3 linked regions of the Diceros bicornis minor genome follow. The protein of the gene in region 1 interacts with the protein of each later gene in a biochemical or structural test. Links are inferred from orthologs where the notes say so. Each region holds a gene or a part of one and is shown in the gene's direction. Other genes may lie near its edges.

What was found. The genes of interacting proteins can lie anywhere in the genome.
Region 2: of the proteins of ABL1 (region 1) and ATR, one has a biochemical effect on the other in vitro, tested with the Homo sapiens proteins (2 studies listed by BioGRID, with this or other methods). The link is inferred for Diceros bicornis minor from reciprocal best matches to the Homo sapiens genes ABL1 and ATR.
Region 3: the proteins of ABL1 (region 1) and DOK1 form a complex in vitro, tested with the Homo sapiens proteins (5 studies listed by BioGRID, with this or other methods). The link is inferred for Diceros bicornis minor from reciprocal best matches to the Homo sapiens genes ABL1 and DOK1.

What each region holds. Positions count from the first base shown.
Region 1 is NC_080767.1:38,114,661-38,122,522, forward strand, and holds the start of ABL1 (tyrosine-protein kinase ABL1), read left to right. Parts: upstream 1-4,847; 5' UTR 4,848-4,848; coding exon 4,849-4,984; intron 4,985-7,862. Other genes in the region: umcharacterized LOC128092248 homolog, read left to right, coding at 4,140-4,238. UniProt on the Homo sapiens protein: Non-receptor tyrosine-protein kinase that plays a role in many key processes linked to cell growth and survival such as cytoskeleton remodeling in response to extracellular stimuli, cell motility and adhesion, receptor endocytosis, autophagy, DNA damage response and apoptosis.
Region 2 is NC_080741.1:11,310,547-11,318,240, forward strand, and holds the start of ATR (serine/threonine-protein kinase ATR), read left to right. Parts: upstream 1-4,689; 5' UTR 4,690-4,769; coding exon 4,770-4,828; intron 4,829-7,694. UniProt on the Homo sapiens protein: Serine/threonine protein kinase which activates checkpoint signaling upon genotoxic stresses such as ionizing radiation (IR), ultraviolet light (UV), or DNA replication stalling, thereby acting as a DNA damage sensor.
Region 3 is NC_080751.1:14,465,188-14,472,351, reverse strand, and holds the start of DOK1 (docking protein 1), read left to right. Parts: upstream 1-4,159; 5' UTR 4,160-4,828; coding exon 4,829-4,888; intron 4,889-5,238; coding exon 5,239-5,538; intron 5,539-5,708; coding exon 5,709-5,802; intron 5,803-5,996; coding exon 5,997-6,181; intron 6,182-6,416; coding exon 6,417-7,164. Other genes in the region: LOXL3 (lysyl oxidase homolog 3), read right to left, coding at 299-462, 2,139-2,451. UniProt on the Homo sapiens protein: DOK proteins are enzymatically inert adaptor or scaffolding proteins. They provide a docking platform for the assembly of multimolecular signaling complexes. DOK1 appears to be a negative regulator of the insulin signaling pathway.

The sequences.
Region 1 (7,862 bases):
CCTCTAATTGAAGTACTAATGCATTAACTTTTGACTAATTCAGAGTTAAAAGACAAAAACAAGATGGTGAAGTTCTCACTGAGGAAGGCTAGAATTCCTAGGCATTGTTTTTCTGCTGACTAAAATGGTGCCCTGAGTTAGGTTTTGAGAAACATTCTTTTAAAGTCACTATATGAAAGTGCTCTTTTATTTCACATGTGGTGAACTATTTTTTTTTATAACTGTGGCATTAGCATTCTGTTCTTGTGTTCTGTGTACTACTTGGGAGCTCGGTACAGTTGAAGGAGGGCTTAGCAGATAGAAATTCTTTTGACAGAGGCCCTAACTACTCTGCTTGGGTCACCTAGTAAAATTTAAACCTAGGACAGTTTCAGTGGTAGTAACGTTGAACACTGCATTTGGTAGTTTTGAAATAACAGCTTGGCTCTTTTTCATTAAATGGTTTTTTGCTTTATAACATTACTCAGACAACTTTTTCTGTTTTTTCTCTCCCAAGTGTATCACTCGTTTTGAGGAGTTTGCAGACAACTGATTATTCTCTAGGCTATGTTGCAGCTTTAGGTTTGCTCACTTGTATTTTGGAGGCCCCATTTCAGGCTGTATGCCTCTTGAGAGAAGGGAATGGGAGAGGGAGGGAGCCTGAGTCCCTGGTTTGGTTTGGTCTCAACCAGGGCCGTGCATAGGTTCGTTGAAATTTTGTCCTTCTCTCCTGGTCTCCCAGGCTGCCAGCCTGTGCTGTTATTCTGTGTACCCTTGCAAGTGGAAATGTATCAAGGTCTGACAGCACCTTTGCTGATTGTCTACTTTCTGTGGCCCACTAGAGGGCACCCTTGTTGAGTTTAATTCCAGTTGGCGTTAAAAAAAAAAAAAGAAGGAATAAAGCTGCAATTTTTACATTGGTACTGAATCCCTGCAGCAACTTGTGGGTTGCTTTGCTTTATAAAAGGGAAGACAAAATTAGAGTGAACTCAATCACTTTTAATGAAAAGAATATATTAAACTTAAAGGGATTTATTCAGCATTTGGCAACATTTATTTACTTCTGTTAGGCATTTGCTGGGCTCTGGATTATAGTTTTTTAAGTCCTCAAAAGTATCACTCCACAGTGTTAAAGTATAACTGTGAAAAAGCATAGTGCATCTCTAGAAGAAAATATTACAGTGTGGGCTGGGGGTTCACCTACAACCAGAAAATGGTGGCAGTGGAAAATGGAGACTCGGGGTAAGCCTCAGATCAAGCACGGTTGGCTTCCACACTGACTTGCATGAAGCACAGTCTCAGTCTTTGTGGAAAAGGAAACAAGATCTCATTTGATCCTCATGATAACCTTGTAAAGTTAGCAGATATGACTCCCACTTACAAGTGAAGAAAGTGATTCAGAGAATTAAAGTGACTTGATGAAGCTCATTAGCAACTGAATCAGGAAAAGAAGTATCTTAAAGCAACCCTTCAGAGAATGTGTTGGACTGATTGTGAAAGGACATGGGTCCAGAAATTTTATTTCCGGCATTGAGTCTGATACTTTGGACTGTTAGTCATTTTGCTTATTGCCTGTCCCTCCCACTATGTATGCTCCAGGACAAGGATGAGCCCCCCGGCCCCATTGTATCCCAGCACCTAGAACAACGCTTGGCACACGGGCTCATTAATGCTTGTTGAATGAATGTTAGCTCAAGAAATGTTATTAGAGAGTTCTGACTCGATTGTCCAATTTTAAGCTAAACTAGAGAGTGAAGAACGATGTGTAGGTAATGATTAAAGCATGAATAGGAATGAAAAGAAAGCAAAATCTTCAAAGAGAAAAATTGGGGTGGTAATCAGGATAAGATAATGGGTAAATAAAGGGAACAGGGGCATTGAAGTTTGTAGAGTGATCTCCAAGTCAGGACCAGGTTTGTCAGCCAGATTATTGTGTGAGAGAGCAAAGCTAAACTAATTAACATCTGAATATAAATTCCAGTTTTAAATTTGGGCACGCATTTGCATATGCTTCACATTCAGTACCTCCAAGTGACTATTTCTTCTTGAAGCCAATGTCTATATAAAATCAGCACCATTCCCAATCCAGTAGAAATATTTCTAAGATACATAACTCAAGACAATAACTGAACCTAAGACACCTAGAATGTGGCTCTGGTTTTCTCCCTATCAGTAGCAACTTCTAAAAAATCAATGTCTAATGTTAGGTCAACAGTTATTTGATACAGAATGGTACAGTGGAAAACTGGGCTTTGGAGCAAGATCAACCCGGACTCCCAACTGTGTAGCTTTATCACATACTAGGCAAGTGACCTTGAGTAAGTCTAGTCTCTAAATCTGTTTGCCCATCTCTGTAATGGGGAATAATATTACATGCCCCATGGTTTAGAGTGAAGATTAAATGAGATAAAGTTTATGAAAAGCGTAAAAGTGCGTGGCGCAGAGTAGGCGCTGTCATAAGTGGATTCTCTTAGAAATGGGTATATCCGGGTGAGGGGCATCGCTCTGCGGAGACATGGAGAGTGAAGAATGGGAGACCGGGGTGCCTTTTAGTTGTAGAAGATGGGTTATGACAGGTGTGGGTTTGGTGTGCGTGGGTCATTGGCTAGCTCTGTAGGCCTGCTAAACCCAGTAATCTGGACATTGTCTTGGCTAACATAGAGGATGTTTTTATGTGAATACGTGTTCACCTGTGAAATGAGGTCGTTACATTGTAAAGATTCATTCTAGCTCAAATATCTGATTGCGCCTGGCTTACCCTCCGAGAGGTGCTTAACAAAAGCTGTTGCTTTAATGAGTGAGCCTCCCGTTATCCCAAAGAAACAATGAATTCGTTAGCAATATGTCGGATGCTTTCCAGTCGTTTATTTTTCGCTAGTTCTAATATTAATGCTTCTTGGGAAAAAGGTGGAAATTGGGGAGGCGAGGGACATGAAAGCACCAAATACCTTGGTTTCCAGGAGCGAGCCAAATTTTCTCCCCTACACAGGTTTAAGGAAGTAATCCAACTCCGGTTCTGGGAAAATCCAATCCGCAGTTTTCCCCTTGCTTTGGCTCCTCGCCGGTCTTACTACCCGCGCAGGGGAGACATTTGCCAGCCCTACGCGAGACCGCCGAAAGTCCACCGGCTCCGAGGAGGGCGGGACCGAAGCTCGGAAGCAGGGAGCAAGGGGCAAGAAGTCTCGGGTGCGCGCGGATAGAGGTGGGCGCCGCGGGACTACAACTCCCGGCACACCCCGCGGGGTGCGCCGAAAGCGGTTGGCTGGGAGCCCTAGCCCCACTGCCCTCGCCGGCCAATGGGACGCAGGAGAGACATCACACCCGGATTCTCGAGGACCAGTGGCAGTACAGGGGAGGCGGGTGCTTCCTTACCACTCACCTTGCGCTCGGAAAAACCGCATTTAAAAGGTCGTGCGGGGCCGGGCTCTGGCGGGTGGGGAGACCAGAGCCGGAAGGCGCGGCGGCGTGCCCGACAGCGGCGCCGGGAGGGCCCTGGTCCCCGAGAGGCACGCTCCAGACGTCGCCGGGGGCGGGGCCGGGGGCGGGGCCTGGCCTCGTTGTGGAGCGGCTCGTAATCCATCATGGCGGCCGCGGGGTTCGGTGTCCGTGTCTGACCAGCGCTGGAGCCGGAGCCGGTTCCCGGGTCCTGCGACTGAGGAGCCCCTCGGTTGTCCACGGCCCCTACCTGCGGGAGGAGGCTGGGCCCCGCGGCGGAGCTCGGGCGATGTGACTGCCTGGCGGCGGCGGCCGTGGCAACGTGCGGGGCCGGGGGAGGGGGTGTCTCGGGCAGAGACCCCCGGGCTCGGGGCAGCTGAGGCGGCCGAGCCTCCTCCCCCCTCCGTCCGCCTCCCGCCCTCCGGGCCGCGAGAGTCCTTCGTCCCTTACAGCCCTGCCCCGGCTCTGGGACACTGGGGTGGTCTCTGTTTCCCCCAGACCCGGGACACCCCGTTTCCTGAGGCGTGGAGGAGCGTCGCCCCCGAGTAAGCCGCCCGTGCCCCGCCCCGGCAGCCTCCCTCTTCCCCCCGAGCCGCCCCTCGCTCCGACTCCCGGCCCCAAGTGTGGCCTCGGAGCCCCCCATTCATATCCCCTCCCTGCTGTCAAGGGGCCTCGCCTTCCCCCCAGGTTGCTCCCGCGAGCTTCTAATGCCCTGACTTCTTCCAATGTCACCTACGACCCCCCTAGTCCCAGCTCAGCCAAAAACTTTAATGCAAACGAAAAGCTTGGACTGGTTTCACAGGCCTTTTAAAAAGCGGACTTAAAAGTTGCTGGCCATGCATTCCTCGTCCGAGCCGAGGGCCAGCTCTGGCTGAAGTCTGGGTGACCCGTGTCCCTTTCCGGAGAGCAGGGTAGAGAAGCGGGAGCGGCAGCTAGTTCGGCAGGAAATTTGACGGAAGATGAAGAAACTAAGATAGGGGGTGGGTGACTTCCACAGGAAGAGTTCTGGAGGAGCACCCCAAGACGATCGACATTTCCTTTACGTGTGGGAATCGAAGTGACTTGAGTATTACTGACCATTTTACAGCATCCTCTGTGAAGGTTTCCGTTTAGGTTTTTCTCCTTGAAAAGAAAAAAGCTGTTATTCAGCCAGTAAAAGACACTTAAAATCCAGAAACTTTTGGGTAGCATTGCAATTACATTACTTCAAATTGATAAACTGCGAAAATAATCGGAACTCCTGTTTACATGTGTCAACCTAAAAACTGCTTCCTTTTGTTATGGAAGATGTCTTTTGTGATTGACCTCAGTTACTGACTTGTGGAGAAGCGGTGAATGTGCAATCCGACGTATACACCGTTTTCCTTCTAAGCTCACTGACTGTTCTGAACGATCTTGAGCCCTCTTCTGGAAAGGGGTGTCTATCGTTACTTTATGGGGCAGCAGCCTGGAAAAGTTCTTGGGGACCAAAGAAGGCCAAGTTTGCCTGCCCTGCACTTTATCAAAGGAGCAGGGAAGAAGGAATCATCGAGGCATGGGGGTCCACACTGCAATGTTTTTGTGGAACATGGTGAGTGCTTTGCAAGCTTTCTGGTCGTGTTTTTCCCTTTGTATTCAGCTTAGGAACGCATATGGAACTTTTGAACAAGAGCACTTGTGTCAGTTCCTTGCATTTCTACTTAAAACTTCTGTTAACTATAGTTCTCTCCTAGTTTTTGGTGGAACTTTCTTTAACAAGAAGTTACTTGGTGACACTGTATGGCTTTCTTCAAAATCTGTTAGAGTTGCTTATTTCTCACCAGATTCCCCTTCTAACTCACTGTTGAAATGGACAAGCCATTTTGCTATTCCGGTTTCCTGAGGAGGTTGGGCTTAAGTGGTTTCTCAGGATCCATAGTCCATGGCTCTGGTCTAACCTAAGGCCTGGGCTCTTCCCTCGAGATGCATAGATGCTTTACTACTTTGTCTACAGAGAGCTTTTATTGTATACTCAAAGTGGTGTGTGCTCCCCAAAAGGTTAAGAACCACAGATCCTAGTTGACACTAATATCCTTGACCTTTTCCATCGTAAGTAGGACTTGAAAATACTCACTTTGGAGGTTTGTGGGAAAAATCAGGTGGGGAAGCAGCATTCCTCGTGCATTGAGGATACCCAACTTTTAGATATTTTACCTTACACAAAGAGTAATCCTCTCCCCATGTATGGAGCTTTCCTCCTCTTCTTTCCTGTTTCAGATGACATCTGGGGCAAGAAAGGTTGTCTTTGACATTTTTGTGAATATATTTGGCATTTGAGTGCTGGCAGTACATGTGATACTGTTCACTTCCAGTAATTCTGTGTGAAGTTTTAAAACTAAGGGTCAGCTTAGGCTGAGGTCTGTAACAGGGGCCCGCCCTGAACCAGTTAATCAGGGTCCTGTTTGTGCTGTTGCAGCCTGACGTTTTTCAGCCTGTGTACTTTATATGAAAATATCGATTGAGCCCACGCGCCCTATCAGCAAATGTAAGGTGTGTGTAAGTGGCATATACTGTACTTCGAAACTCGGTCACGAGTACCTCTTAACAATGGGTGACAACAATAAACAAAGGTCTCTGTTCAGTGAACTGGTGTTTCATAGTTGAGGTTTGACCTTACAGAAAAATATTCCCCTCATCTAAATAGTCTGGGTTCTTGGATTTTACTTTGCCTTGAAACATTAGTTATATTTTAGCATTGGTTTTGGACAGGCAAATGTGGTAATATGTTATAATGCTTCCCCAATTCTGGATTTATAAAGTAAATTACCATTTTTAACTAGTGATGCTCATGCAGCCTTAGATAGTGAAAATTGGTACCAACTTTTTGGAGAGCTTTGGTCGTATCTATCAGAATTTAAAATGTACGTACCCGTGACCCAGTAATCTTACTTCTAGGAAACTATCCTAGTATGGAAGAGTGTAGTCCCCTTGATGTCCTAGTACCCCTTCAGGGGGTCCAGGGGTTAAAACTGTTTTCATATTAATACAGTACTAAGATGTTATTTGCACTCTTTGCACTAATGGTGCAAAAGTAATGCAGACTCCTTAGCATGAATCAAGGCTGTGACATCTACTACGCTAGTGGCCGTTGTATTCTTCACGCCATGCACTCATAGTAAAGAAAAAAAATCGGGGCTGGTTCCGTGGCTTAGCGGTTAAGTGCGCGCTCTGCTACTGGCGGCCCGGTTTCGGATCCTGGGCGCGCACCGACGCACCGCTTCTCTGGCCATGCTGAGACCGCGTCCCACACACAGCAACTAGAAGGATGTGCAACTATGACATACAACTATCTACTGGGGCTTTGGGGGAAAAAAAGGAGGAGGATTGGCAATAGATGTTAGCTCAGGGCCGGTCTTCCTCAGCAAAAAGAGGAGGATTGGCATGGATGTTAGCTCAGGGCTGACCTTCCTCACAAAAAAAAAAAAAAGAAAGAAAGAAAATCGATTTTTACTTAAGAATGTCCTTGATGGCAGCAAAAATTATTAATTTTATTAACTCTTGACCCTTGTGTATATGTGTTTTGACTGTTCTGTGGGATAAAATGGGAAGTATGCATACGGCATTTCTGCTGCGTGCTGAGGTATAAGGGTTATTTCTAGGAAGGGTGCTTGGGTGGTTGTTTGAGATGCAAACTGAACTAGCCACTCTTTCATGGGCTACCATTTTCACTGCAAACTACAGCCGACGAACGATGGTTATTCAGACTAAAAAATGTATAAAGGAGTCTTTCATGGACAACAACGGTATTATCTGTTGTCAATGATAAAATTTTAGGTTTCCAGGGGAAATTAGGATTTTGGAAAACTTGTATTTGCTGCTGTGTTGGAGAGATTGGTGGTAATATTTGCAAATGTGATATTTTGATATAATGAAATGTATTATTTGGAAGATCTACATAATTCAGTGAACCGATATTTTCTAAATGATCAACACATGAAGTTGTAAAATCACACACAGGTAAAAGATCCGTTCAAGGTGCAAGGTGGACAGTGGATTTTAATGTGGCAATGCAAACGTTCATTGATACGGTTTTAGATTCTACATCACAACTAACCTTTAAGAAACTACCAAGTTTTGGTGTAGCTTCAAAGAAGAATAGTTACAATTATCTAAAAACAGCGGAGAAGTTATTTTCCAGTAATAATAAAATGTTTATTTTTAAATGAATAAATAATTTAAAATTTTCAGTTTAAATTTCTATATTGCAAATATTGATGAGATAACCTATATAAACAAAAGCCCTTTGAGGTCCTCAATAATTTGCAAGAGCGTAAAAGAGGTCCTGAGATAAAATTTGAGAACTGCTGCTGTAGAAAGTCGACGAAGAAGGCACAGGAGGATGTTGATTGCCGGCATACTGTCAAGTACTAACACCGAGAGACGGCCATGTAGTGGTAAGTGGAAAAAAGCAATTTGGAGATCAGTCTGCA
Region 2 (7,694 bases), on another chromosome or scaffold:
TAATCTGTCTGACAATATTCAACACAGTCAAACTGCTGAAGCAGGGAATGGCATAATCATATCTAGGTTTTGAAAAGGTTGCTCCGTCTGCTGTGTAGAACTCCAAACAACATGAGCATCACCTAGGAGCAAATTTTTATAGATTATTAAAAATGCAAACTATTAACTAATAAATAATTTTTAAAAAGTATTTAAATGCAAATTATTGAGTATAACTGTACCAAGGAGGTGTACATTGAACCATTCAGGTATAGAAAGAAACTTATAAAATTGTTCATATTTTTTATCTCATTCCTTGAAGATTTCTATTTTAATCTATACTATAATGTGAATTATACAGTAAAATCCTCACGTAATACCATAAATGGGTAAAAAACATCCAATGCATTATGATGGAACTTGCAGAGCTAGGCAGCCAGGAGTTTGGGCATCTGACTGAGAACCAACTGCATCTTGGTCTCACTTGGGTTGTGGTGCCACCTGATGGTCATTTCCCATCCTAGTTTAATCAACAATGGGGACAATTCCATATACATGCTGTATGAAACTTCCAGGAGGACATTGGTTGGCGCCCCTTGGTTGACTTGATCTGGGACACTGGGGCTTAGGAAATACTAACGTCCCAAGGACACTGGGACCCACCTCAGCCTCTCTTCTTCCTGCCTCACTCTCCCTTCACACTCCACCACACCAAATGATAAAAGGGCAGGGGGCGGTGAGAGGAAGACAGGAACCAATCAACAGTTGTACTATGTCCAAATTTACATTATCATGAGTTATATGTATATTAAAATATAGTAATAAATATATATGGTTAATAAATAAATATGCACATATTAGGGTGCATACTTTTAAAATTTCAACAATATTGTTGAGTGAGCAAAAAAAGTTGGGGAATCTCGCAGTGAAGAGAATAGATTGGAGGGAAAAGCCCAAAGGAAGAGAGGCAACCTACAACACTGCTGAAGTAATCTGGGCAAGAGACAGTGATTATCTGAAACTAGAATGGTGGTAATAGGATTTGGAGGGAAGTGGATAGGTTTGATATTTAGGAGGTAGAATTGAGTCCTTACCATTTAAAGATATGAACTGAAGTATTTACAGAAAAATTGATATGATGTCTGGGATTTTCTTTAAAATAATCCAATTAGGGAGAGGGGCAATGGGAGGGGTGGTTATAGACGAAACAAAGAGCAGCCATATGCTGATTGGTGAAGCTGGGTGATGAGCATAAGGGGGTTCCTTATTTTATTCTCTCTACTTTTGTATATATTTGAAACTTTCCATAATAAAAAGTTAAACAAAAATAAAGTGCCTGGGAGAAATTCAAGGGAAAAAAAATCAGTAGGAAGGTAGACATATGAAATATAAAGCTCAGAGAGAGATCTGAGCAGAAGCAAAGAATTTGGGAGTGTCCAGCAGGTGGAAAGTTCATTGAAGCCTTAAGAGTGAATGAGGTCACCTAGGCATAAAAAAGAAAAAGGAAGCTAAGTTAGAATCCCGAGGAATACCAACAGTTAAGGGGATGGCAAAGGAAGTGTTGCTAACATGAGAATGAATCTTGTAGGCTAAAGGAAGTCAGTGTTCCAAGAAGGAGGCATTAGTCTATGTTGTCAAATGCTACTGAGAGGTCAAGAAAGGAAAGAACTGATAAGCATCTTTTGGATTTAGCCGTATGAAAATCATTGGTGACTTTGGTGAGAGGTGTTTAAGAGGGGGCGAACAGGGCAAAGAGTATGGTGTATGTAGGTTAGGACTGAGTGGTAGATGAGGAAATATAGTCAGCCTGTATGAAAAATTCAAAAAGTTTGGTGGAGGAGAGACGCATATGGCTACTGGAGGGAGGATATCTGCTTGGAATGACATCAATTGCTCCTTTATTGATACACTGCTAAAGAAGTTTGATTCTCTAAATGACCTACCACCTCCTTTTATTCTGTCCTGCACCTTCCTGCTAGATTTGAGTGTAGCTTTGACAGTGTCGCTCTTTATATAAAATCTTCCAGTGCCTCTCCATTGCTCACTGAGGTCTGTAGAAGCGTCTCAGTTGGACGACTCTAAATGTTTCCTAACACCAGCCAAACTGGACCACTCTTCTCTCCCTCAGTATGCTTTTTTTCATAGTGCTGCCTCTAGTTAGAATATAGTCCTTTCTCCAATCTTTGTCTCTTCAAGTCCTGCTCATCTTTCACATCTCATCTCAGATGTGGTGCCACATTCTCCTTGAGCCCCTTCCTGATCCACCTCCTTTCCACTGGAGTAGATATGATCTCTCCTTCCTCTATTTTTCTTTTTCTTTTTTTTTTGCTGAGGAAGACTCGCCCTGAGCTAACATCTGTTGCCAATCTTCCTCTATTTTGTACCTGGGTCATAGCCACAGCCCAGCCACTGGCAAGTGGTGTAGGTCCACGCCCAGGCCACCAAAGCGGAGCGCACAGAACTTAACCACTAGGCCACAGGGCCAGCCGCCTCCTCTATTTTTCCAGTGCATGCTGTTCATATCTCTCTTATGGCATTCATAGATGTTGCTTTGCTTTTAATTTTCTGGGTTCTTATCATACCCTTTCTACATCCAGATTGTATACTATTTGAAACTGTCTTACTCATTTTTGTGTCATAGAAGTACCTAACACAATACCTTGCACAAAAATCACTTTTTGAATTAAACTGGATTCGCAAAGCTCTATTGTTTCTAACATTTAGGGGTTTACACTGTGTTTTAGAATTACAATGCTATTCCGCTATTGCCTCCCATATAACATTGTAATTTTTACAATCTTTCTTCATATGATCTAAAAATAATACCTAACATTTGTTACTTTTTAGTTGATAAATTGTTTTTCACATGTGTTGTCTAACTTAAGCTTTAAAAAGCATATTTATTTTTTATACATTTTGGGATATCTTAACCATACAGATAAAAATAGTAATATGACATTCACCCAAATATAACAAATGTTAAATTTGTCATGATTAATTCAGATCCTATTAAAAGAAAACCCTCACAGATATGTTGAAACCTCATCATTTCATTTCCTTCTCTCTCTTTTCAGAGGTACAACTCTCCTGGCGTTGATGTACATCCTTCCCAACCATGTTTTTATACTTTTATCGTATATGAATGTATACATAACACACAAAGTCTTATTTTGTGGTTTTAAAATGGTATGTAAGTTATATAACAATATTATGTATCCCTTTGCAATTTGCTTTTTTCACTCAATATCGTTTTCAGGATTCATCCTTGTTGGCATGTGTTGTATATTTCATTCATCTTAACTAAGAAATGGTATTCTAATCTTTACCATAATCATGTGAGGCAGATATCATCAATCTCATTTTATAGATGAAAAAGCGAAGTCCGAGAGGTTAAGTAACTTTCCCGAGGTAATATCGTTTCTAGCAGATGGAATGAGAACTTGCGCAGGCCCTCTAACTCCTAATCTTACGTTCTTTCCACCTTGGCATTCAACTACTTAACAGATATTTACTGAACACCAACTATGTGCCAGGCACTGTTCTAGGTCCTGGGTATCTAAGCAGTGAAAAAAACAAAAAAGATCCTGCTCTCAAGGAGCTTACATTCTAATTGGAGGAGACAGTCGATAAAATAGTATGTAATACATCGCTTGCTTCCAAGTGCTATGAAGAAAAATAAAGCAGGATAGAGGGGAAAACACAGTGTGAGCGTGTGTGCAGGTCTACAGGAGGCTCTCCGGTGACATTTCAGCAAACGTCTGAAGAGGGGCGATGGGAGAGGGGTGTTCAAGGTCAAGGTAGAGGGTACACAGCAAATGCCAAATCCCTGAGGCAGGCGCATATTTGGCTGTCATTCCATCACTTTGATTTTTTTAGATACTGCATCCACAATTCTCCTCACGTGCCAAAGAACAAAGGTAAGCACACTGCACGGCTTTGCCTGATTAAATACATAATTTTTACACGTTAACAGTCTCTTATGATGGCCATCTTTCGAATAAGCAAATTGGGCTGAGCTAGAAAACGTCTACAGCCACAATGCATTGATTTACTTTAAAAATTAAATCGTCGGTGGTAGACGCCCGTAACGGTGACATTCAGTGTACTGCTGCTGATCTGATGAGACACACATAAATACAATTCAATCCCTTTTGAAATATTAAAGGTTAGGAGAATCCTCAAGGAAACCGAAGAGTGACTTCAAGTTGAAAAAAGCTGCTGAAACAGAAAGGACAGGGAGGATCCCACCTGCTGCCCCGCATCTCTCAGCAAGGATGCCAGGAGAGCGGTAGGAAAATGAGGAACCTGAGGGCCTTACGCCGTGGGGAGACCCGGCATCTAGTGGTGGCCTTGACTCGCTGAATCGTCTCAGTTCTCACACCTGTGATGCGACCGAGTCTGGGCTGGGGCCCGCCAAGCCCCTTTCTCCCCGAGATCCGCGGGACTCGCTTCGCTGAGCCTTCTAGGCTAGGAGGCACGGAGCGCAGCCGCTAAAACCCAAGCTCGGCGAACCCCGCCCCCCCAGCGCGCCGAGCTAACCCGGAACCCGCGCAGGGAAAGGTGGCCGCAGCGCGCGCCACCGGCTCGCCCCGCCCCTTTCTGCCTCCCGGCCTCCCCCGGGTCCTACGCGGAAACGAAATACCGCCTCCAGAGCGGGGCCGGCGGCGGCTTCCGGGAGGAGTTTTGGACCCCGCGAGTTCCCGTCGGGCGCCGCGGCTTCCCACCGGAGTAGCTGTGGAGACGCCGGCAGTCCGCATCGGCGTCGTTGACGAGTGCCGCGCGTCCTCAGCATGGGCGAGCATGGCCTGGAGCTGGCGTCCATGATCCCCGCCCTGCGGGAGCTGGGCAGGTAGGGCGAGCCCGGCAGTCCTGGATCCCAGGTCCTTCCCCGCCGGCCCGGCCGGCGTTTCACGTGCTCTCCGTCCCCTGCCGCGCGCGTCCGGGCTCCGATCCCCTCCGCCCCGGCCCCTGTGGAGATGCTCCGCGGCGGACCGGAGCGCTTCCCCTCAGAGGGGCGGTTCAGGTGACGCGGGGCGCCTCCAAGGACCTGCGGGAAGCCAGGCCGAGGGGAGGGAGGCGTCTGCCGGCCGCACTTTACCTCAGCGGCGCGAGGGCGCTCGTCCCCAGCCGGGGCTGCCCTCTGCAGCTGGGGGGAAGTGTCCCTTCGACCGCTTTTCTGGTCACTTGACTCCACTCACTCGCTTCTCGAAAGCCTCTCTCCTTTTAGATGAGGGACTTGACCCGTAGACATTCCCCAGTTTCTAGTCTTTAGGAGCGCTCGTGGAGGAATTGGGTTTTTAGCTTTATGTTTTGACCCAAACTGCCCTTAACAGAAAAAATCGCTGGTTCTGATTTTGTGTAAGGCAGGCCAGTTGCTCGAAAAGGTAGTTTCTATTTTCGAGGTGAAACCATAGGCCGTTCTGAAGATGGGACCCCTTCGGTATTGATCACCCGGTCGCCAATCCGTTATTTTAGTCAAAAGCCGGGGATCGGCCGCAACGTCCACAAAATGGAAAGTGCACAGGATGTTGCCAAAATCTGAAGACAATTTAATATTGTTTCACTTGCAAAAGCTTGTTTTCTGTAAATCCTAGAGTAACATCCTGTGAACCAGTGTCCTGCCGGAAGAGAGGGGAGAGTGTTGATGGCTCCTGTCCCCTTTAATCCACGCGGCCGTCCCTCAAACAGGCCTCGAGACTAGAAGGCAGGGGTTTTGTTTGTTTTTTTAATATTGTAACCCACTGTGAACAAGAAATAAGTGGGCTTGTACCACCACTGCACTGGAACTACCCATTGGAATAGCTGCTTTCCAGTTTCTTAAACTGTTGGAAAACTTAGCACAAACGAAGTCAAAACGGTGGTTAAGCCCCTGGGATATTTAATTGCCTTTCTACTCGCGGTGCAGTTGTGTTCACCTCCACTTGTTGGCCATACAAGGACGTTTAGTCTTCCTCAATTACGTAAATAAGGGGCTAAATGAAAAGACCATGCTTGTCTTAACTGAATCATCCTCTGTGTGTGTGTGAATTTTTCTTTGCATGCATGTTGCAAGCACACTTTGCGTTAACGTTTAGTCGGGTAACATCTAGCTTTCTAAAAGATGAATACAAGTGCTCATTTTAGTTAGTTGATGGACACATTTCGTTATTCAAGCTCAGCATGAAGCTCAGTGTGTTTTCCCTACTTTGCTTTCATGTAGAATTAACTGATTAATACTTCTCTTCCCTATTCTCTCTTCCTCTGTGAGACTTGTTAATAAAAATAATAGCATCTTGGATTTATTTACAGTCTCTTTCATAATAGAGCTTGTGTTACCTTTCATTTCATTCATTTGTAGCCATTCTAAGAGAAAGAATAGAAAAACTGATCCAAAGAGAAATGTCTAATACTAGTTTTTAATTGTCATGACTTTTTCATTGCAACTGCTTCATTCAAGCTTGTTCAATATCACGGTAGCTTCATGATATAGAATGAAGCAAATATTATCACTATTTGTTAAGAAACTGAGTCACAGAGATTGAGGAATCAAAGTCAGAGAGACAACAGTTATCGGAGCTAGACTTCAGAGTCATACCATCAAGGCCTCTTCTCCCCAATTTTTTTTCCTTAATTGACTACGACAATTAGATTTCGGAAAAAAGCGAAATGTCACTGTTCTAATGTGTGTGCTCCTCTTCCTCTGTCTCTCAGGGCTAAATTTTGCTCCTCTGTTGTTTGCTGTTAGCACTCTTTTCTCTGCAAAGTCTTTCTGGGTGATCTCATCCACTCTCCTGCCTTCACCTACCATCTGCTGTTTGACGACTCCAAGTGTGTTTCTCCAAACCATATCTATCTCCTGTAGCACTATAGAGAACTATATACTAGCAATTTTACCTGGGTGTTATATGTGCAGTTGAGATTCAGCATATCCAGTACAAATTCTCCACATATCCAAGTCTCCCCAAGCTTTTTTTTTTTTTAATTCTTCTCATTCACTGAGGTAGGGATATCTCAGTAAATGATACCATGTTCACTCATTTTTCCAAACCAGAAGTCTGGGAATCATTCTTGACTCTCTAAGTGCTTTGGGGCTATTTCCTTGGTCCTCTTTTCATCTTCACTCTCTTCCTAAGTAACTTTAGTCCCAGTGCTTTAAATATCATCAATATGCTGATAACTCCCAAATTTCTATCTCTAGCCCAGAGATATATGTTAGGTTGCTTACTTAACATCTACACCTGGAAATGAAAATTAACATATCCAAAGCAGGACTCCTGATTTACTGTCCTTAAACCTGTTCCTTCCCCAGGTTATTGTATATGTACCAACCAAAAGCATAGGAGTTAGCCCTGATTCTTTCTCTTATCCCTCAATCCATCAACAAGTCCTGTCAACCCTACCTTTAAAATACTCTTCTGGGGGCTGGCCCAGTGGCCTAAAGGTTAGGTTCTCGTGCTCTGCTTTGGCAGCCCGGGGTTCACAGGCCAGGATTCTGGGCGCGGACCGATGCATCACTTGTCAAGCCATGCTGTGGCGACGTCTCATGTAAAGTAGAGGAAGATGGACACGGTTGTTAGCCAAGGATCAATCTTTTCCTCAGCAAAAAGAGGAGGATTGGCAACGGATGTTAGCTCAGGGCTGATCTTCCTCACATGCACACAAAAAAATACACTTCTCACCATCTCTACTGCTATCACCATAATTTCTGATCTGGACTATTACAGTAACCTCTCAGC
Region 3 (7,164 bases), on another chromosome or scaffold:
GCGAGGGAGAGCGCAGGATGCCCTGGGCACCAGGGATGAGTTGGAAAGGCTTGTGCCAGATTTAGTAACTTGAATGCTAATGCTAAAACAAACCCGGACTTTACAGTGTCTGGGACCTCTATCATTCGTCCTGTCTCCCCACCCCGCCAACCCTCCTACCAATCCAATTATCCCATGGAGCATATGAGATCCCCTACAATCTAGTATCTCCTCTAACCACATATAACCCCCTACCGCCTTCTCTGTCTGGCCATCCTGGGTGGTGTGTGTGTGCGTGTGTATTTTGTGAACTGCAGACCTCGATGACATTGAAATCTGAGAAGCCGGGGAGGCGCTGGTCCTTGCAGATGACCCCGGCATCCTCATCGTGGGTACAGTCACTGTTCCCCCAGCCCCGGGAGGCACATTCAGTCACACTCTTTTCAGTCCCACTGCAGCTCAGGTTGTCCAGCCAGATGCGGCCTGTGGAGGGGGAGATGAGGAGATAGAGAGGCTTGGGGAGGTAGGATGGGAGGAGTGATGGGGATGCTGGGGAGAGTGAGCATGGAGGCCTCACACCTGGCCATGATGATCCCATTTTTCTGGTAAGATAATGGGTGGGGACGAGACAGGGGACCCTGGAAGGGAATAGGAAAGGGAGCATAGAATTGATGGAGGGTTGGTGGTGGTCTGGGGATACTCAAGAATGTGGTAGCATGAACAGAAATCAAGGGTCAACACTAAAGTTCTGATGAGTGCTTACCCATTCAATGATAGCTACAATTAATCAAGTACCTATGTGTGTTAGGCACTCTGCTGTAGTATGTACATACATGATAATTCTTAGAACAGAGCTGCCAGGATGTATTATCACCATTTTATATAAAATTGGGGTTCAGAAAAATTAAGTAGCTTGCCTAAGACCTCACAGCCAATACATGGGGGGCTTAGGAGTTTGAGCCATTTGTGAGACTTGGAAATCTAAGATCCTTTCACCTCAGCCTCACATTCTCCCATGTGCCCACCCTATCTGTGCTGCCACATTACCCCTTGTTCTTCTCCTGCCTGGACCAAACTGAAATGAACAGCACTGACTTCCTCTCAGAATTGGGTGGACCCTCAAATGTTGTCTGTCCCAGACAATGTGCAGGGACCCCTCATGCATATCCTGATAGGACTTACCCAGCTTCTGCTGGGACACCTACCTCTCGCCTCCCTAGGCCACTGGAACCATCACAAAGTCCTTGTGACTCTTTATGACTTTCTCCCACCAGGTCTAATTCAGTCCTTTGATGCCATCCAGAAAAATCCCTCAGCCAAAGGACTGTCCTCATATTTGAAGACAACCATCATGTAATTGCTATCCAAAGCTTTTTCTTTTAATGCCAAACATCCTTGTTTCTTCAGCTATTCTCCCTTGAAACTTGGCTTCTAATCTTTCACCTCTGGGCAGCTCTCCTCTGAAAGTATTTCCATTTTCTACTCTCTCTCTTAAAATGCGGGCTCTACAAGTGACACTTTATTCCAGAAGTGGTCTAGCCAGTGGGAATTGAGAATCAGCTGCAGACTGCACCAGCTTCTGTCCATCAATCCCATTGTGGGCTCATACAGTGCAAGCACTCCCAGGTCTCAGTTTGACTTGCTCGTAAGTCCCTACTACCCACATTCATGCTCGTTCTAGAGTTTATACTTGGCCTTAGTCAGTTCCAGCTTGTTGGTTTCAGCTGTGGCCTATACTCCGATTTTGTCAGCTGCAGTATCTGTGATCCCTTCTGGCTTTGGGACATCCAGACATCATTTACCTGCTCTCAGCTTCCCATGAAACCCACCAGCTATACTTTAATCATACAGGGCTCCCCTGTATCAGGGCTGTCCTTGCACGTGGCTTTGTAGAATCATACTTTTGCAGCAGAAAGGAACTTAGAGATGATCTAGTCATTTTGCACACGGGGCATCTGAGGCTCAGAAAAGGCATTGGCCAGCCTAAGGTCACACAGCTCTGAGATGTGACTATGTTGGTTGGTTTGTCACCCTTGGGTTTACTTGACATTGGCTGTTCTTGGTGTCCTGTGTACCTGTGGCTGTGCCATCCTGGTGTTCCCTCTTCCTGCACTTAGGCACCTAGGCAATATCTAGGCTATTCCTGGAGCATTGCTCACCTGTTCCAGGGCCATATTTGGCACTGTGGGTCCAGCCTGTGGCCTCTGTGAAGCCCAGCTCTCGGCAGAGGACGTGGGCAGCCTGCAGCGTGAAGTCGTCATCGCAGATGGTGCCCCATTCCCCAGCTCGCTGTATCTCCACGCGGCCCTCGAAGGGCTTCCTGGGGAAGCCGGCCAGCCGGAAGCGCAGCCCCTGGCTTTCGGCCCTCTTCTCAGGGGCCATGGATGGGGACGGAGATCCTAGGCACGAGCTGCACAGCAGGCACAGCAACAGCCCCCACGGGTTCCACTGCCAGACACTGACAGGTTGCATGGCAGGGAAGGCCTGGGTGCCCCAGAGAGAGAGAAGGAAAGAGAAACTGAGATTGAGCCAGGCCCAGGTCCAAGAGAGAGGTCATGAGAGGAACAGAGACACTGAGGAAGACCAGAGACAGAAAGACAGTGCAAGAGAGAGAGGGACCCAGGGACTAAGAGAGACAGTGAGAGAGAAACATACACTAAATAAGTCTGAAACACTGAGTCAAAGAGGCGCAGACTGAGACCCAGATTGGGGAAAAGGGAGAGAGAGACAGACAGAGACATAGAGAGAGAGGCTCTCCCTCCCTTTGGTAAAAAGTAAAACTCTCACTATTAGTTGTTATGCCTTCCAATGTCCTTCCCTAGTTCTGCCATCATCGCCTCCATTACCCCCACTCACTGATCTAAGAGACCCAGAGATCAAAAGACAGTGATTAGAGACCAAGAGTCAAAGAATGGTCAAGATAAAGAGATATGGAACAAGAGAAACACAGAGAGGAAGACCCAGACAGATAGGAGGTGAGAGGAAGGGAAACTGTGGGACTGAAAGGGGACCAAAGAGAAAGAGACAGCAGAGAGAAAGACAATGTTGAAGATGGATAAAAGGTGATTGGGAGAAAGCCGGGCACACAGGATTGGGGAGAAAAGGAGAGAGGCAGGCAACAGGTGAGGAGGACAGGGATTGACAGGAGCCAAGGAGCAGAAGTGGGAGGGACCCAGATGACCCCATTCAGCTAGTCAGACAGAGGACAGACAGCTACTGATTGTGGAGAAAGGCAGGCAAGGGGGTCTTAGGAAACCCTTGGATCTCCGGCCCCCTGAATGGGAGCCAAGCCCAGAGTCCTATCTGGGCAGATTCCAAGGCAGAGAGGGCAGAGATCAGAATACATGCAGAACCCGCTGCACACTCTACCCAGCACACAGGCTCTCACATGCCCTGGAGGGTCAAGGGGCCCAGGAGGGCCAGGCCTCAAGCTTGGCGGGGAGTGGGGGGTTGTCCAAGTCTCCTGCCAACACTGCCATCGCTGTCACTGGGCAACCGGAGGCCAGGGCGCCAATCGGCTCCTCAGCCAAGGCCTTCCCTCTGTCTGGGGCTGAGAACAGCCTCTCTACAGCAAGCCCCCCCACCCCCTACATGCTTCCCCCAACTCAGACAAACAACCCAACAGGACAGCTTTGTTCTGGGGACACTGTGGCTGGGGGGCCCAGGGGTAGGGCCTCACAAGAGGAGCCCCCAGCCTTAGGGTCCTCCCAGCTGCCCTATTTGGAACACTCTGCAGTCTCCTCCCCCCCCCCCCCAAATATCTGCTTCCTCTCTCCACTCTTCTTGTGTCTCGTTCTTCTTTGACAATAATAAAACCCTCAGTTGGTTGGCTTCCCCTCGACTCCATCCTACATCACCCTTTTCCCCTGGTCCCTGCACCATCCTCTCCATCCGCAACTCCCCTTCCTCCTGCCGGCAGCGCGACTCCCCCTACCTTTGGCTGAGCGGGGGCCCTAGGGGCTGGGAGAAGAATGCTGGTCCTGGAGATCAGTCCTAGGACTTTCAAAAAAAAAGTGCTCGGCCAGGGGAGACTGGACCCCCCCTCTCTCCTCCCTCTCCTTTAGTCCCTCCCACGTCCCCTTGAGCCCTCCCACATTCCGCCTTCTCCCTCGATTGCTCCCTGGCCAGTTCCCTCCTCTTTTCCTCTTAGTCCTCCCCTCCCCCGTGACGCTAGCCGTTGCCGCTCCACCTCCCCCCGCCCCGACCTTCCCGGAGTGCTCAATGAAGCTTTCTTTTCCCGCAGGTTGGAGGCCCGGCAGCTGCGGTCAGGAAGCTGGACACGCAAGAGGCCACCGGGCCGCGGACCGGCCCGGACGGCGGCCCCTGCAGCGGCTGGAGGCCGCGACTCGGCTCCGGGCTCCGGGAAGCCTTCCAGTCCCCAGCCCCTAGCCCTTTCTCCATGTCCCTGGGTCCGCGGAGTGTAAACAGCCCAACTCCGGCCAGGCTGGGGGCGGATCCGGTCAGGGGAACTGAGGCCATGAGGGCCCACGTGGCCCCTCCAGTGCCCCAGGGCGACCGTCACCATTTTCGAGGTGATGTCACGGCCTTCACTCTGATGTCACGTTGAGCATATGACATCGCACGCAGCCCCCAAGCCCAGGCGCCAGAGCCCTCTGGCCAAAACCGCGAGGTTTCTCTTGGTGGAGCCACTTGCGCGCGTCCTAGAGCTAAGGGCAGGGACCTGGAGGTGGACCCCCTCCCCTTCCTTCTTGCTCTTCTCCTTCCTGATCCTTCAAGGTCCGCAGGGGCCGGGGGAGGGGCGGCAACGCCTCCGGTGGGCCCGCCCCGCCCCGCCCCGCCCCGCCCGCAGCCCCGGGGCCAGGAAGTGCGAAAGGAACCGCCGCGGGCGATGGACGGGGCCGTGATGGAAGGGACGCTCTTTTTGCAGAGTCAGCGTTTCGGTACCAAGGTAGTCAGGGGCAAGGGTTGCCGAACCCCCTCAGAGCTAGGGGTGGGCGATAGAGCCCAGAAAGAGGGAGGAGGCGGGCAGCGGGTTGGAGCGCGGCGCCCGGAGCTGGAGAGCCCTGTGACGTTCCCGCGAGGTTGCTCTGCACACTCCGGGGAAGCGCCCGCCGGGCTCCGGGTACGCCCTCTCTGGTCGTGGGGAGACGGAGCGGCTTCCTCCTTGGGCGAGTTCGCCTCCCATCGGGAAGCCTCAGACCCAATATCGGCCAGCGCCGGTCTCTCTTTCCCCGTCGGTTCCCGGGCTGCCCGTGCTCGCCCGCCCCCTCCGCAGCGTCTCTCGCTCTCTCTCCGCAGAGGTGGAGGAAGACCTGGGCCGTGCTCTACCCAGCCAGCCCCCACGGCGTAGCGCGGCTCGAGTTCTTTGACCACAAGGGGTCGAGCTCTGGAGGGGGCCGAGGGGGCTCGCGCCGCCTGGACTGCAAGGTGATCCGTCTGGCGGAGTGTGTGAGCGTAGCCCCCGTGGCCGTGGAAAGCCCCCCTGAGCCTGGCGCCACTGCCTTCCGCCTGGACACCGCGCAGCGCTCCCACCTGCTGGCGGCCGACGCGCCGTCCAGCGCCGCCTGGGTGCAAACCTTGTGCCGCAACGCCTTTCCGGTGAGGGGGCCGGGACTGCCGGCGAGGGGCTCCTGCGAGCCGCACCGGGCCTAGAGGCGATGCGGGGGTGGGGGCAGTTACTGCGGCGGAGGAACTGGGTTGGCTCAGATCCTGGGAGCCGCGTTGAGGGAATTACAGGGTCTTCGATACTCTCTTTCTCTTTACCCCAGAAAGGCAGCTGGGCTCTGGCGCCTGCTGAGAACCCACCCAAGCTTTCTGCCCTGGAGATGCTGGAGAACTCCCTGTATAGCCCCACCTGGGAAGGTAGACGCCTGAGAAGCCCGGGCAGGGATGGGGTGGAAAGGAAGAGTGCCCTTGGGAAGGGGATAATTAGAGGGTCCAGGGACCCCTGGGGAAGTAGGAAGCTCCTGAGAGCTGGCTTCCAAGTGGGTGCTTGGACAATCTGCCCCATCCCCTAGTCCCGGCCAGGTGCCCGTCTAACTGTGTATTCCTTCCAGGATCCCAGTTCTGGGTAACCGTGCAGAGGACTGAAGCCGCTGAGCGCTGCGGCCTGCACGGCTCCTATGTGCTGAGGGTGGAGGCTGAGAGGCTCACTCTCCTGACCGCGGGGGCCCAGAGGCAGATACTAGAGCCACTCCTTTTCTGGCCTTACACTCTGTTGCGTCGCTATGGCAGGGACAAGGTGCGGGGGCTGTCAGGGAGGGCTGGCTTCCTAGGTCTGGGCAGCTGTGGGGGAGGTGGGGCAGGACAGGAAGGTGGAAAGCTCTGCCCTCTGGATAACCCTTCTTTGCCTAGCCCATGACCCCACCCTCTTCTCCAGGTAGTCTTTTCTTTGTAGATCCCCTAAGTAGTAGGGCCCTGTGACTCACCTCCTCTCATGGCTCCTGGTAATGTGTTTCTCTCCACATTCTCTTCAGGTCATGTTCTCTTTTGAGGCTGGCCGCCGCTGCCCCTCCGGCCCTGGAACCTTCACCTTCCAGACGGCACAGGGAAATGACATCTTTCAGGCAGTTGAGACTGCTATCCACCGGCAGAAGGCCCAAGGAAAGGCTGGTCAGGGGCAGGATGTTCTCAGAGCTGATTCCCATGAAGGAGAAGTGGCAGAGGGGAAGTTGACCTCCCCCCCTCAGGAGGTCCTGGGCAGCCCTCCAGCACTGTATGCTGAGCCCTTAGACTCCCTTCGTGTTCCTCCAGGCCCTTCCCAGGATTCCCTATACTCAGACCCCCTGGACAGCACCCCTGCTCAGACAAGGGAGGGGGCACAGTTAAAGAAACCTCTCTATTGGGACTTGTATGAGCATGCACACCAGCAGTTGCTGAAGGCCAAGCTGAAGGACCCCAAAGAAGACCCCATCTATGATGAACCTGAGGGCCTGGCCCCAGCTGCTCTCCGGAGCCTTTATGATCTGCCTCAAGAGCCCAAGGATGCATGGTGGTGCCAGGCCCGGGTGAAGGAGGAGGGCTACGAGCTCCCCTACAACCCTGCCACTGATGACTATGCTGTGCCACCCCCTCGGAGCACAAAGCCCCTCCCAGCTCCCAAGCCCCAGGGCCTGGCCTTCCCTGAAGCTGGAGCTGCAGCTGGCAGTGGCAGCAAAGGCCACAGCTCAGATGGTGCCCTGTACAGCCAGGTCCAGAAGAGTGGGGCCTCAGGGAGCTGGGACT